Linked DNA regions of Oryctolagus cuniculus. The main gene of each other region encodes a partner of the protein of the gene in region 2 in a complex. Links are inferred from orthologs where the notes say so. Each region holds a gene or a part of one and is shown on either strand. Other genes may lie near its edges.

Evidence for each region.
Region 1: TADA2A (region 2) and SGF29 share a complex: the UniProt entries of both Homo sapiens proteins name them as parts of the ADA2A-containing complex. The link is inferred for Oryctolagus cuniculus from reciprocal best matches to the Homo sapiens genes TADA2A and SGF29.

Annotation. Positions count from the first base shown.
Region 1 is NC_091450.1:7,540,203-7,546,383, forward strand, and holds the start of SGF29 (SAGA-associated factor 29), read right to left. Parts: upstream 4,351-6,181; 5' UTR 4,132-4,350; intron 2,921-4,131; exon of another isoform or gene 2,755-2,920; intron 1,638-2,754; exon of another isoform or gene 1,437-1,637; intron 1-1,436. UniProt on the Homo sapiens protein: Chromatin reader component of some histone acetyltransferase (HAT) SAGA-type complexes like the TFTC-HAT, ATAC or STAGA complexes.
Region 2 is NC_091448.1:38,177,722-38,183,453, reverse strand, and holds part of TADA2A (transcriptional adapter 2-alpha), read right to left. Parts: intron 4,861-5,732; coding exon 4,789-4,860; intron 3,165-4,788; coding exon 3,032-3,164; intron 2,537-3,031; coding exon 2,493-2,536; intron 1-2,492. UniProt on the Homo sapiens protein: Component of the ATAC complex, a complex with histone acetyltransferase activity on histones H3 and H4. Required for the function of some acidic activation domains, which activate transcription from a distant site. Binds double-stranded DNA.

The DNA of each region.
Region 1 (6,181 bases), on a different chromosome or scaffold from region 2:
GTGCGGCCATCTGTGGAGTGAACTAGCGGATGGAAGACCTCTTTCTCTCAGTCTCTTCCTCTCTCTATAACTCTTTCAAATAAATAAAGAAATCTTAAAAAAAAAAAAGTAGAGACTTAGGAACAAGAGTTGGCAAGGATGTGGAGAAATTGTAGGAACAGATAAATAAGGCGTGGTATTATCCATACAATGGATGGTATTGCCACATGCTGCCAACATGAATGACCCAGGAAAACCTTCTGCCAAGTGAAAAGAGCCAGTCACAAGACTACACACTACACGCTCCCGTTTATATGAAACATCCAGACGGCTGGGTGGGCAGGGTTGGGGGAGAAAGGGAGCGATCACGAGCGGATGAGCCAGGTCAAAGGCTGCAGGCTGCCCGTGGCGACAGCACAACTCTGAACGCGCTAACCAAACAGGTGCCCGGGCCCAGCCAAGCATGAGTCTACTTTCTCTCTTGATTTGCTTCTCCTGCACTTCATTTTGTCTTGAATAGTCCCTACCTCACACTCTGTCTATAATTCATCAGTCTAAGGACAGGCGTGGTGCCCACATTTTAGCTATTCTGAGTAACGCTGACATGCACGCAGCCAGGTTTCTGTGTAGACGTAAGCTTCCATCTTCCGGGCATGGATCACGTGGCAACTCCACGCTTCACAGAAGAACTGGCAGCAGCCGTGTGGGTGCCACCCCAGGCTGCTGTCTCCATGACTGCAGACCCTCGGGGGCCCGGGGGGGGGGGTCTCCTGATGGCTGAGGGCATGCAGCACCTTCTCATGCACTTGCTGGCCGTGTATGTATGGCTTCTGGAGGCCGGCCCTCTGCCCACCTTCAAGTTCAGTTATCTCTGTTACTGAGTTGTATCCATGGGAGCACATATCTTTAATATAAAGTCCAATATGTCTTCTGATTTATTTATTTGAAAGGCAGAGTGACAGAGAGAGAGACAGAGATGGGGTGGGGGTATGAATCTTCCATCCACTGATTCACTCCCCAGATGCCAGCAACAGCCAGGGTTGGGCAAGGCTGAAGCCAGGAGCCAGGAACTATCTCCACCTCCCATGCAGGCGGCAGAAACTCAAACACTTGGGCCATCTTCCACTGCCTTCCCAGGCCCAATAGCAGGAAACTGGCTAGGAAGTGGAGCAGCTCCGATTTGATCTCTTAACCCTACTGCGCCACGATGCTGGCTGCACCAACTTATCTTTTTCCTTCAGTTGCCTGTGACACCAATGTGTTTCTTCCTACATGGCTTAGCACCAGGGCTTTACGTAACGCATCTCACGTGAAGCAGAACATGTCCCTCTGGAAACGTCCAGCTGTACTGGCTAGAAGCACGTGAAGTAACGACCTGCAGTCTAGATCAGAGACCAGAAGCGGACGAATCAGAATGAGCAGCTAAGGCCCCAGGAACGGATTAGACCAGAGATTACCTGCTGAGCGAGGCCAGAGCCCCACGGAGCCACAACGGTGAAGGCGTGGACAGCACGGGAAAGGGTTACACTCTCTCGGTAGAAGTTCGGATGGGAGGGGCCGGCGCTGTGGCGCAGCAGGTTAAGTTGCTGCTCGTGACACCAGCAACTCCACACGAGCCCCAGTTTGAGTCCCAGCTGCTCTGCTTCCAATCCAGCTCCCTGCTAATGAGCCCAGGAAAGCAGTGGAAGACGGCCCAGGTACCTGCCCCTGCACCCACTTGGGAAGAGACCTGGATGTGGTTCCAGGCTTCCAGCTGTAGCCGGCCCAGTCTTGGCCACTGCAGCCATTTGGGATATGAACCAATGGATGGAAGACCCCTCTCTCCACCTCTCCCTGTTTCTCTAAAACTGCCTTTCAAATAAATGAATAAATACTAAAAAAAACAAAACACAAAAAAAAAACCAACCAACCAAAAAATGGTTCAGACGGGTTACGTTTAACAAGGTAACAGCAAAAAGCAGTTGAGGTGGGGTTACAAGGCTGCCAATTCTAAAACCTACGCTCTTCCTCTGAACTCCAATTTTGCCACAACTTCAACGTGCTCAGTCCTAAAACAACTCACAGAAGTAGGAGCATTTCGTCTCTTACACACCACCCATCAACTGGTCGGTTATTGTGACTATACCAAAAGTGTCACCAGAAAAATGGTGATCACCATGGCAACTAAAAAAGAGACAGGAAAATGTGATGGTGCCTATTATGTGTCAACCTGCCTGGTGAGACACTGTTTGCAGGTGGGTCTGGGAGGGTGCCTCCAGCATGGGCATCGCCCAGCCTGCTGGTTCTCAGGCCTCTGGGCTTGCACTGGAACGGCACTGGCTTTGCTGGGCTTCGAATGCGCAGGTGTTGAGTCATGGACGGCAGCTCAGCCTCCACCGTCCTGTGACCCAGGCCATCATCACACATCTCTCTCTGTGTTAACTACAGAGAACTGTTCAGTTCTGTTTCTCTGGAGAACATTGTTAAAAAAAAAAAAAAAAATTTGTTTGCTTATCTGAAAGACAGAGTGACAGAGAGAAAGGAAAAGATAGACAGAAATCTTCCACCTGTGGTTCACTCCCCGAATGGCTGCTTTCTGGGTCTGCGCCAGGCTGAAGCCAGGAGCCGGAACTCCATCCCCGTCTTCCACGTGGGTGGGAGGGGCCCAAGCACTTGGTCCATTACCGACTGGCCTCCCAGGTGCTTTGGCAGGGAGCTGGGTGGGAAGCAGAGCAGCCAGGACTTAAACAGGCGTTCATGTGGGACGCTGCTGTTGCAAGCGGCAGCTTTACTCACTGTGCCATGTGCTGGCCCCTGGAGAACCTTGACAGATTAGAAGTAACAAGGAGGGGCCAGCGCTGTGGCGTAGTGGGCTAAGCCTCCGCCTGCAGTGGTGGCATCCTATATGGGCGCTGGTTCAAGACCCGGCTGCTCCTCTACCGATCCAGCTCTCTGCTGTGGCCTGGGAAAGCAGTAGAAGATGGCCCAAGTCCCACATGGGAGACCCAGAAGAAGCTCCTGGCTCCTGGCTCCTGGCTCCTGGCTTCAGATCAGCACAGCTCCGGCTATTGTGGCCATTTGGAGAGTGAACCAGCAATGGAAGACCTGGGACACAGTCCAGAAAGGAATACAACACAGTTCCAAAAACTTACTTGCAGGTAACACAAAGCACTAAAAGAGACAAAAAAGGACCAGGCAAGTCTGAACATACAATGATGCCAGATGTCAAAAAAACAAACCCCAGTCAGAGAGGACTCAGCCGCTGGCCAAGAGGATGCCCACAGCTACCCATCAAGTAGCGAAATTTCAAAGCCTCAATCAACATTGACTGAGATGGATGGAGGAGGAGGGGAGTTGAGACGCAAAGACACCAGGCATAGCTCAAGCTTTCCAGCCCGAGAAGCTGGAAAAACAAGACAGACGAGGGAAGGCACCGATGTGCAAAGGATAAAACTCAAAATTAGCTCTGGACACATTCCGGGAGGCCAAGCAGCCATTTCAAAGCAGGGAGCGCGCTCCGCAGGGAGTCCACGGGCTGAAGACAGGCATCCAAGAAGTTGGCAGGACCGCAGAGGGTATTTAAAGCGTCAATCGGGAATGTCTAGGGAGCGGACAGCCACAGAGAAGAGATCTGGGATGCAGCTCTGGGGTGGGACACGCATTAAAAGCAAAGGGGCGGCCAGCGGGACAAGGGGAGAGGCGTTCCCGCCACGCACGGGCGCTGCTGCTAGAGGCTCTGAGGAGGAAGCGTGCTGGCCCTGGGCGACACACCTGCGCAAACCAGGTGGTTGCAGGTGTCAGGACAGTGGACGGGCTGGCGGGTGCGCTGCCCCACCCTGGCACTGGTTCAGCAAGGATGCTGCAGTCCCGGCCGCGCCCCTCGCCTCGCCCGGCCGCACCTGGCCGAGCACCGCACCTGCGCGCGCCGCGGCTCCCCACTCTCGCGCCCCGGGGCCCGAGGGCGCACGCGCAGACCCCACGCCGCCCGGCCGCGGGCCCCGCCGCCACGGCCGCGAGCCGAACCCCGCCTCTCCCGCCCAGGGCGCGTGCGCGCCGCACCCCACCGAGCGCCCCCTCAGGCGAAGCCGGGACGGGGGACGGGGGCGCGCAGGAAGGACCCGGTGCCCTGGTTCCCGAGCCTCTCCGGCGGCCGCGGGCCTGACCCATGCCCACCTGCCGAGTCCCGGGCGAAGTAACCTCGGCGCGCTGGAAACAGCGACGGAGAAACAGGCGCGGTCCCTCGAACGCTTTTTCCGAGCCTGCGGATGCTAACGCACTCGCGTTCGAAGATTCGCGGCACGTCGAGAACCACACACGCTTTTTTTCCCTTTTATGAGCTTAGGCGAGCGCGGCGGACCCGTCTGCGCAGGCGCGACCCTCCCGCCGTGACGTGCTGCGCTGCCCCCTGGGAAATGTAGTTTTTAGTTTGACACCTGTGCCCAACTCTTAACTGAAACTTCATTTTGCAAGACTTATTTATTATTGATTTATTTTAGCGTCTTCTCAAAAAGCCTCAATTTTAAAACAAAAAGCAAAGCAATTTAAGAGTGAGCATCTTGTGGTTGGGGGGACGGCAGGATATACGGAAACTTTCTAGCTCAAATTTGCTATGATCCTAAAAATGCTCTGGAAAAATAAAGGCAGATTTTTAAAAAGCAAGGATTAATTAAAAAACATGTCGATATTTAGAGCCAGAAATCATGCTTTCAGGGAGTCTTCCCAAAGTATTAAGGATATGCACATGCAAATATTTAGTTCATCAGAAGGCGGTCATAGTATTTTGCAAACTTTATTTATTTATGTTAATTGAAAAGCAGAGAGATACAGAGATATATCCCGTCCACTGGTTCACCCGACAAATGCCAGCAATAGCCAAGGCTGGGTCAGGCTGAAATCAAGAGCCCAGAATTCAATCCAAGTCTCCCACGTGGGTGGCACAGACCTACCTACTTGAGCTGTTATCTGCTGTCTCCCCGCGTGCACATTAGCAGGAAGCTGAAAGTGAGAGCAGAGCCCAGCCAAAACCCAGGTTCTCTGATGTGGGATGTGGGCAGCCCAAGTGGCCTCTTAACTGCTCAGCCAAAACGCCTGCCCCACATTATAGCATCACAATTTTTTTTTTTTTTTTTGACAGGCAGAGTGGACAGTGAGAGAGAGACAGAGAGAAAGGTCTTCCTTTGCTGTTGGTTCACCCTCCAATGGCTGCCGCGGCCAGCACACTGCGGCCGGCGCACCGCGCTGATCCAATGGCAGGAGCCAGGTACTTATCCTGGTCTCCCATGGGGTGCAGGGCCCAAGGACTTGGGCCATCCTCCACTGCACTCCCTGGCCACAGCAGAGAGCTGGCCTGGAAGAGGGGCAACCGGGACAGAATCCGGTGTCCCGACCAGGACTAGAACCCGGTGTGCCGGCGCCGCAAGGTGGAGGATTAACCTAGTGAGCCGTGGCGCCGGCCTAGCATCACAATTTTTTACACAACCCCTAGGAAAGTATATATTTATTAATTGATTTTTTTGACAGGTAGAGTGGACAGTGAGAGAGAGAGATAGAGAGAAAGGTCTTCCTTTTCCGTTGGTTCACCCCACAATGGCCGCTGCGGCCAGTGCACTGCACTGATCCGAAGCCAGGAGCCAGGTGCTTCTCCTGGTCTCCCATGCAGGTGCAGGGCCCAAGGACTTGGGCCATCCTCCACTGCCCTCCCGGGCCACAGCAGAGAGCTGGCCTGGAAGAGGGGCAACCAGGACAGAATCCGGTGCCCCAACTGGGACTAGAACCTGGTGTGCTGGCGCCACAGGTGGAGGATTAGCCTAGTGAGTTGCGGCGCCGGCCATTAATTGATTTTTAAAACCTTTATTTATTTAGAAGGCAGGGTGACACGCACACACACACACACACACAGAGAGAGAGAGAGAGAGAGAGAGAGAGGGAGGGAGATCTTCCATCTGCTAGTTCACTCCCCAAATGGCCACAACAGTCAGGAGTGGGCCAGGCTGAAGCCAGGACCAAGGAACTCCGTCCGCATGAGTGGCAGGCACCCAAGCACTTGGGCCATCTTCTGCTGCTTTCCCAGGGGCATTTTCAGGAAGCTGGATCTCATATGAGCGTCCCATACAGGCACTAAATCATGTCCCGGCTGCTCCACTTCCCATCCAGCTCTCTGCTATGGCCTGGGAAAACAGTAGAGGATGGCCCCAGTCCTTGGGTCCCTGCACCCACGTGGGAG
Region 2 (5,732 bases):
CAATTCATGTGTCCTTTGCTCACACAATCACACATACCTTAGAGTCAGAGGTGCCTACTCCTCACAGCAGTTACCCCTGTGTCTTCCTAACCACGTAGGAGACTCTACCATCTGAAGCCCAGATGTTACCCAGTACACTGCCTGCCTTGAGAGCTGCTGAATGGAAAGAACAGGTCTGCAGGAGAGACATTCCCTAATCCTCACCACACCGCCAGCGCTACACTGTAAACACGGCAATTAACCAAGCACCTTGTGCCTCCAGATCAAAGGCAGATTGTTAGGCCAGCAAAAAGCCTTTATTTATTATGTGAGTGAGAATTTGTTCATTCCAAAGCAGCCCTGTTTACCTGAAAGATTCACTCCCAGGAACAATGAGCCATTATACGGCAAAGCAGCTGGGCTAAGGTCAACTCACACAAGCTGAGAAAGAAACCCAAGCAGAAGTTCACTGGCCAGGCCAAGATGGGAAGTGAATGTGCAAAACTGTTCTGGTTTTGTTTTCAATGTGTGTTTGGGATTAAGATTTAGCTGGGGATGGACAGAGTGAGTTCAGCAAACGAGTATGTAGGACGCTCACCAGCTGTAAAGGGGATGTCTTTTAGGTGGGGCAGCAGAAGGGGAGGCACCACTATAAGCTGATCATTTGGAAACCAGGGCTCTCTGGAATACTAACAAAGGGAATGAGGGCTTATCCCAAATGCTCAGAAAGAAGTACAATAGCATGGTGCCTCCCAAGTCCCAAGTCACCAGAGGTTAGGATACAGTCAGTGATGCCAGGCTTCTAACATTTCATGACGTTAAGAGCAACTCGGAGCATAAAAGACCAAGGGGTCTCCTCACACTAAATGCAGAGTGGAGGAAGCCCATGCCAGGCCAGTAAGAAACAGAGACTGAGTGCAGATGGTTCAGAAAACTCAAACACCAGAGCTGAATGATCATGTTAGCCATTCATTTTAATTAACCAGTAGTAAGTTATTTGTATTTTTGTATTTAGGTTGGAAGTAAGAAATTTACAAAATAAAACTTGGATTTCACTGTCTTGGTGACTCAGTAAAAAGTCTCCCTTCTCTCTCTTAAGCATTAAAGAGTAATTACTTACAACAGAGGAATAAAAGGAGAAAACCAAAAAACTCCTGAAGCGACCTTACCTGAGTCCCATCTAGATCCTCAGTCTACTGAGAGATTTCAGAAGCTCTGCTGCTGCAAGCTGCCAGAGAATGGGTAAAACGGCTCTGCTGTCTCTGCTCAGCAGAATGTCTGCATGTTCTAATTAGGAGAAATGGCCAATCTAGCATATGGAGCAGGGGCAGATGACCACCAAGAGAACGTGCAAAGCACTCTAAGGGGCCAGTGTTGTGGTGAAGTGGGGAAGCCTGCTGCCTGTGATGCTAGCATCCCGTCCGAGCACTGGTTTGTGTCCTGGTTGCTCCACTTCCAATCCAGCTCAATGCTAATGGTCTGGGAAAAGCAGCAGCAGATGGCTCACATGTCTGGGCCCCTGCCACCTAGATGGGAGACCTGGCTGAAGTTCTTGGTTCTGGCCATCAGAGTGAACCAGCAGATGGAAGATCTCTAACTCTGCCTTTCAAATAAATAAATAAATCCTAAATAAACAAACAAGTGGTCAATGATCTTGGGTCAGAATTTTATAACTATAATCTTTCCAAATTCCTAGTCATTGATCACTACACACCAAGATCATCAGATAGCAGCCAGCTGAATCCTGCTCTACAAACTTATTTCAAAATAGGACATACCCAGCGAGGTAAAGCAAAGAAACAGAAAAACCTTAAGCTTCTTATTTATAAAGAAATCCTCGGCAGGCGCTGCAGCTCACTAGGCTAATCCTCCGCCTGCGGCACCGGCACCCCGGTTCCAGTCCCGGTCGGGGCGCCGGATTCTGTCCCTGTTGCCCCTCTTCCAGGCCAGCTCTCTGCTGTGGCCAGGGAGTGCAGTGGAGGATGGCCCAAGTGCTGGGGTTCTGCACCCCATGGGAGACCAGGAGGAAGCACCTGACTCCTGGCTTCGGATTGGTGCAGCACTGGCCATAGGGGGTGAACCAACGGAAGAAGGAAGACCTTTCCCTGTGTCTCTCTCTCCTCTCTAACTCTGCGTGTCAAAAAAAGAAAAGAAATCCTCAAGTTTCTGGCAAGTAACACAGTTTGTTTGCTCATACTGGATACAAACCTTTGATCTCCTGCAAGACAAATCTCCAGAGTGTGTGGCAGATACAAGTGCCATAAACTGACTGCCCGCTGACACTGGTAAAATAAGGAAGCTACCTTCTCTACTGTTCTTCCTTCCTCTGTCTCTGTCCTCTCACCCTGAGGACACTCCTTTCTGCCCAGGGAAGGTTCCAGAAACCTGCAGATGTTTACAAACTGGACTTGCCTGAGTGCCTTGGTCTACACTGGGTGGGATTTTGGGGTCATCATCACCCCCATAATGCAGACTTTACCATCAAGACTATTTCCAGCCTGAGAAATAATTACCTGAATTTGAAGCCATTGGAACAGAAGGACTCAGGCCGGAATCACTGTAGTGAGGAAGAGGAATTTAGACTCAGGTCAAAAGACAACTTCCAAAGTCCCTATGGGGTTGGGGACCATTCCTCAGGTGGGTCACTCTGAAGACATCATGTTTTCCAGGGTATCTCACTACACTGACCGGGAAGGAAAATCTGTTCTGAGGGAAAATAAAAGGAGCCCTGGATTTGTTGAGAGCTCTTACCCCTGGAACGCCACTGATATCGTCACGGGGAAGGGTTAGCAGGACGATTCTCAATGGGAATCACACCATGGATATCCAGGCGGAGAGGGCCCAGGTGGGAGGCTAGGGAAACCCACTCATTTTTAAAAGTAAGAGCAACGTAGCAAGGGGGAATCCCAGGAAGCCAGCTCTACTTCTCAGAACTGTTAGGACTGCCCTGTTTCTGAGGGGACTGCAGTCATCTGCATGCAGGGTGCCCGAGAGGGGCTCCACAGCACCGGTGCGCTCACAGCACCAGGGAGGAGCTCACAGCACTGCTCACATGTCGGCTTGCCGGCGGAGCCACTGCTGGCATGCCCCGCTGTCCTGGATGTACTGCAGAACCTCGGAGAGCATGGTGCGTTTCAGACGCTCCTCCTCTCGTGTCTTCTTCAAGTGATCGTAGGTCCTGGCACCTGAAGGCATAGAAAATACGATGACCACAATGACAATGCAGCAGAGCTACGGGGATTCCTGTTTGGCTTTTCTTGGTTTTCTTTGCAAAACTGCTTTCACAGCTATTTTTCCAAGAGCAAAAGCAGGGTTCTCCTAGTCTGAAATCCCTTTGTTGATACTAACTGAAATATTTTTATTCCTGTTCTACCTTTACGAAATTTGGAGGAGAGGAGGGAACCAGAAAAGCACAAATAATACTCATATTTCCACTTTAAAAAAGCAATTTGACTACTGTCATATTTGCTTTCTGGGTTTTTTAATTCATATCTATTTCAAAGTCACAAGGGCCATAAGCATAAGCTGTTCCTTCAGAACCAATCAGAATTAAACAAAAGTGCCCACTCACCACTTTCTATCCCATACTTGCCAGAGGCCACCAGCAGAAGGTAACTGAAATTCAGCATCCATCTCTACATGCACCTAAGAGTTGTGGGATGCTTTCTCCACATTCACAAAGGTCACCGTAACAACGGGTTTCCAACCGTGTCACACAGAGCCTCAGGACACTACGAGGTGACTTTGAAGAGCAAAGTCAGTGCCAAATATTGGGAGTCCTGGGCTCCATTCATAAGTGGCACATCAAATGTCAACCAAAGTAATTCCACTTATGACCTATTTGTAGTTTGTAGCTTCACATAAAATTTCACTTCAAACATGGTTTCCACTGTTAAAAGGAAAGAATTGTTGAACTTACACCCACAGGGCTATGTTAAGAAACACAGCTACTTCTTGTGGGTAGTAGATGATAGCTTTCAAGTCTCAGACTTCAAACAGGAAGAGGGAGTGAATGCTCAAGATCATTCCTACAATAATAGCAGAACAACAGAAATTGCCATTTATGGGGGATTTCTGTGTGCCAGGCACTGAGCCACATTTTTACACTACCTCTAACTTAATCTTCACACCAACTTGAGACTTGGGAAATTGAAACTTGAACAGAATCACAGAGCTAGTAAAGAGGAGAGTCCAAGTGTAGCCCTCTAGCCTCAAAGTACTGTAGTAACACATGGCCTTCCCTGATGAACTGGCTCTAACATTTACTTGCTCTTTAATCTCTTCAAGCCTTCGTTTCTTCAATAAATGGAAATAACAGTACCTCATGAGTTGGTCATAAGAGTTCCAAGACATAATCCAGGTGAAATGCCTAGCATAGGGCCTGGTGCACAGTAAACATTTGACAGATGTTAGCTGCTACTAATACAATTACTCCTATTACTTCAAGTAACTGGAATGCAAGTACCAGAGCCATCCAAAGCTTGGTTAATAAAACTTTGTTAATACACTTAGAAAGGCTGGGGCTAAAACCTAGAATATAAAACTCTTTTTTATTAGGAACCATGGCAGAATCCTAAATCTAAAGCAACATCTCTTTTCTTTATATCATGACTGTTATTCTACTTCAGATAACCAAATAATGGTGCTTATATGGATAAAATGGGATGAAAGTTTACTGGAAAGATTGAAAACTCATTCTGAAAAAGAAAAGCCTGTTTTAAAGGAAGTATCACAATACCTCAGACACTTCCTGGATGCGTCTGGAAGACACTTGCTCTCTGATACACCATGTGATCGAAACATACTTACTACAAAAATTGGTAATGCCCGCTGTCCTATATTCCTGGAGTCTCTTGATTTCTCTTCGGAGCTCAAATTCCACTGTTTTCCCCAAGAAGAAGAAAAATTGAAAAAAATAACCAATATGAATGAGCACTTCTGCTATGTGTTTTCAGTCATTCTGCTTTGGAAAAGGTTGGGCAATTTCACTTGGGGAATCCTATCTGCTGATAACTTCTCATTAGAAATTTTACCTAAGAGCTGAGAAAACCTCTTCTGGCTGCTGTCTCTAAGAGACAGATGGCTTGTTTCCTACAAAACTTACAGCGAACTGATTGAACTCATCTGTCTACCAGAGCTACCGATATAACCTGAAACAGTATTCAAAATGACAGAGAAATATCTTCCATCCCGGCTTTACTCTCCAAACGCCTACAACAGCCAGCTGGGCCAGGCTGAAGTCTGGAGCCTGGAACTCTACCTGGGTCTCCCAGGGGTGGCAGGGACCCAAGTCCCCGAGCTACCATCTGCGTCCTCCTGTGGTGCACATTAGCAGGAAGCTGGACTGGACGCAGAGGAACCAGCACTCAAACCAGGCAGGCGTCCCAAGCAGTGACAGCCGCCTGTCCCGTGAATGTCATCTTTTAAGTCCCCGAGTTTTTCCTGCTCTACCTATCTTCTGTTGAAAGTTCTACTCACTTGACTGAGATTTTATGAGATCTCTGGGATTACTTAATGTGGCCCTTGCACAAGGGAAGGACAAAAGCTCTGTATGTGAGCCCCAGTTAGTTTCTTCAGAGCTCTTCTCCTGTAGTGACAAAAGAGCATTGTGTTTTCCACAAACCAAAAGGTTCTGCCTCCTCTGAACACAGGTCATGTTGCTATGATATGATACAACACTCACATGTGGGTGCTTTTGAAGCAGAGGACAAAGGAGAGCCTAGGCACCTATGGGGTGTGGTTTTCTGAAGTGA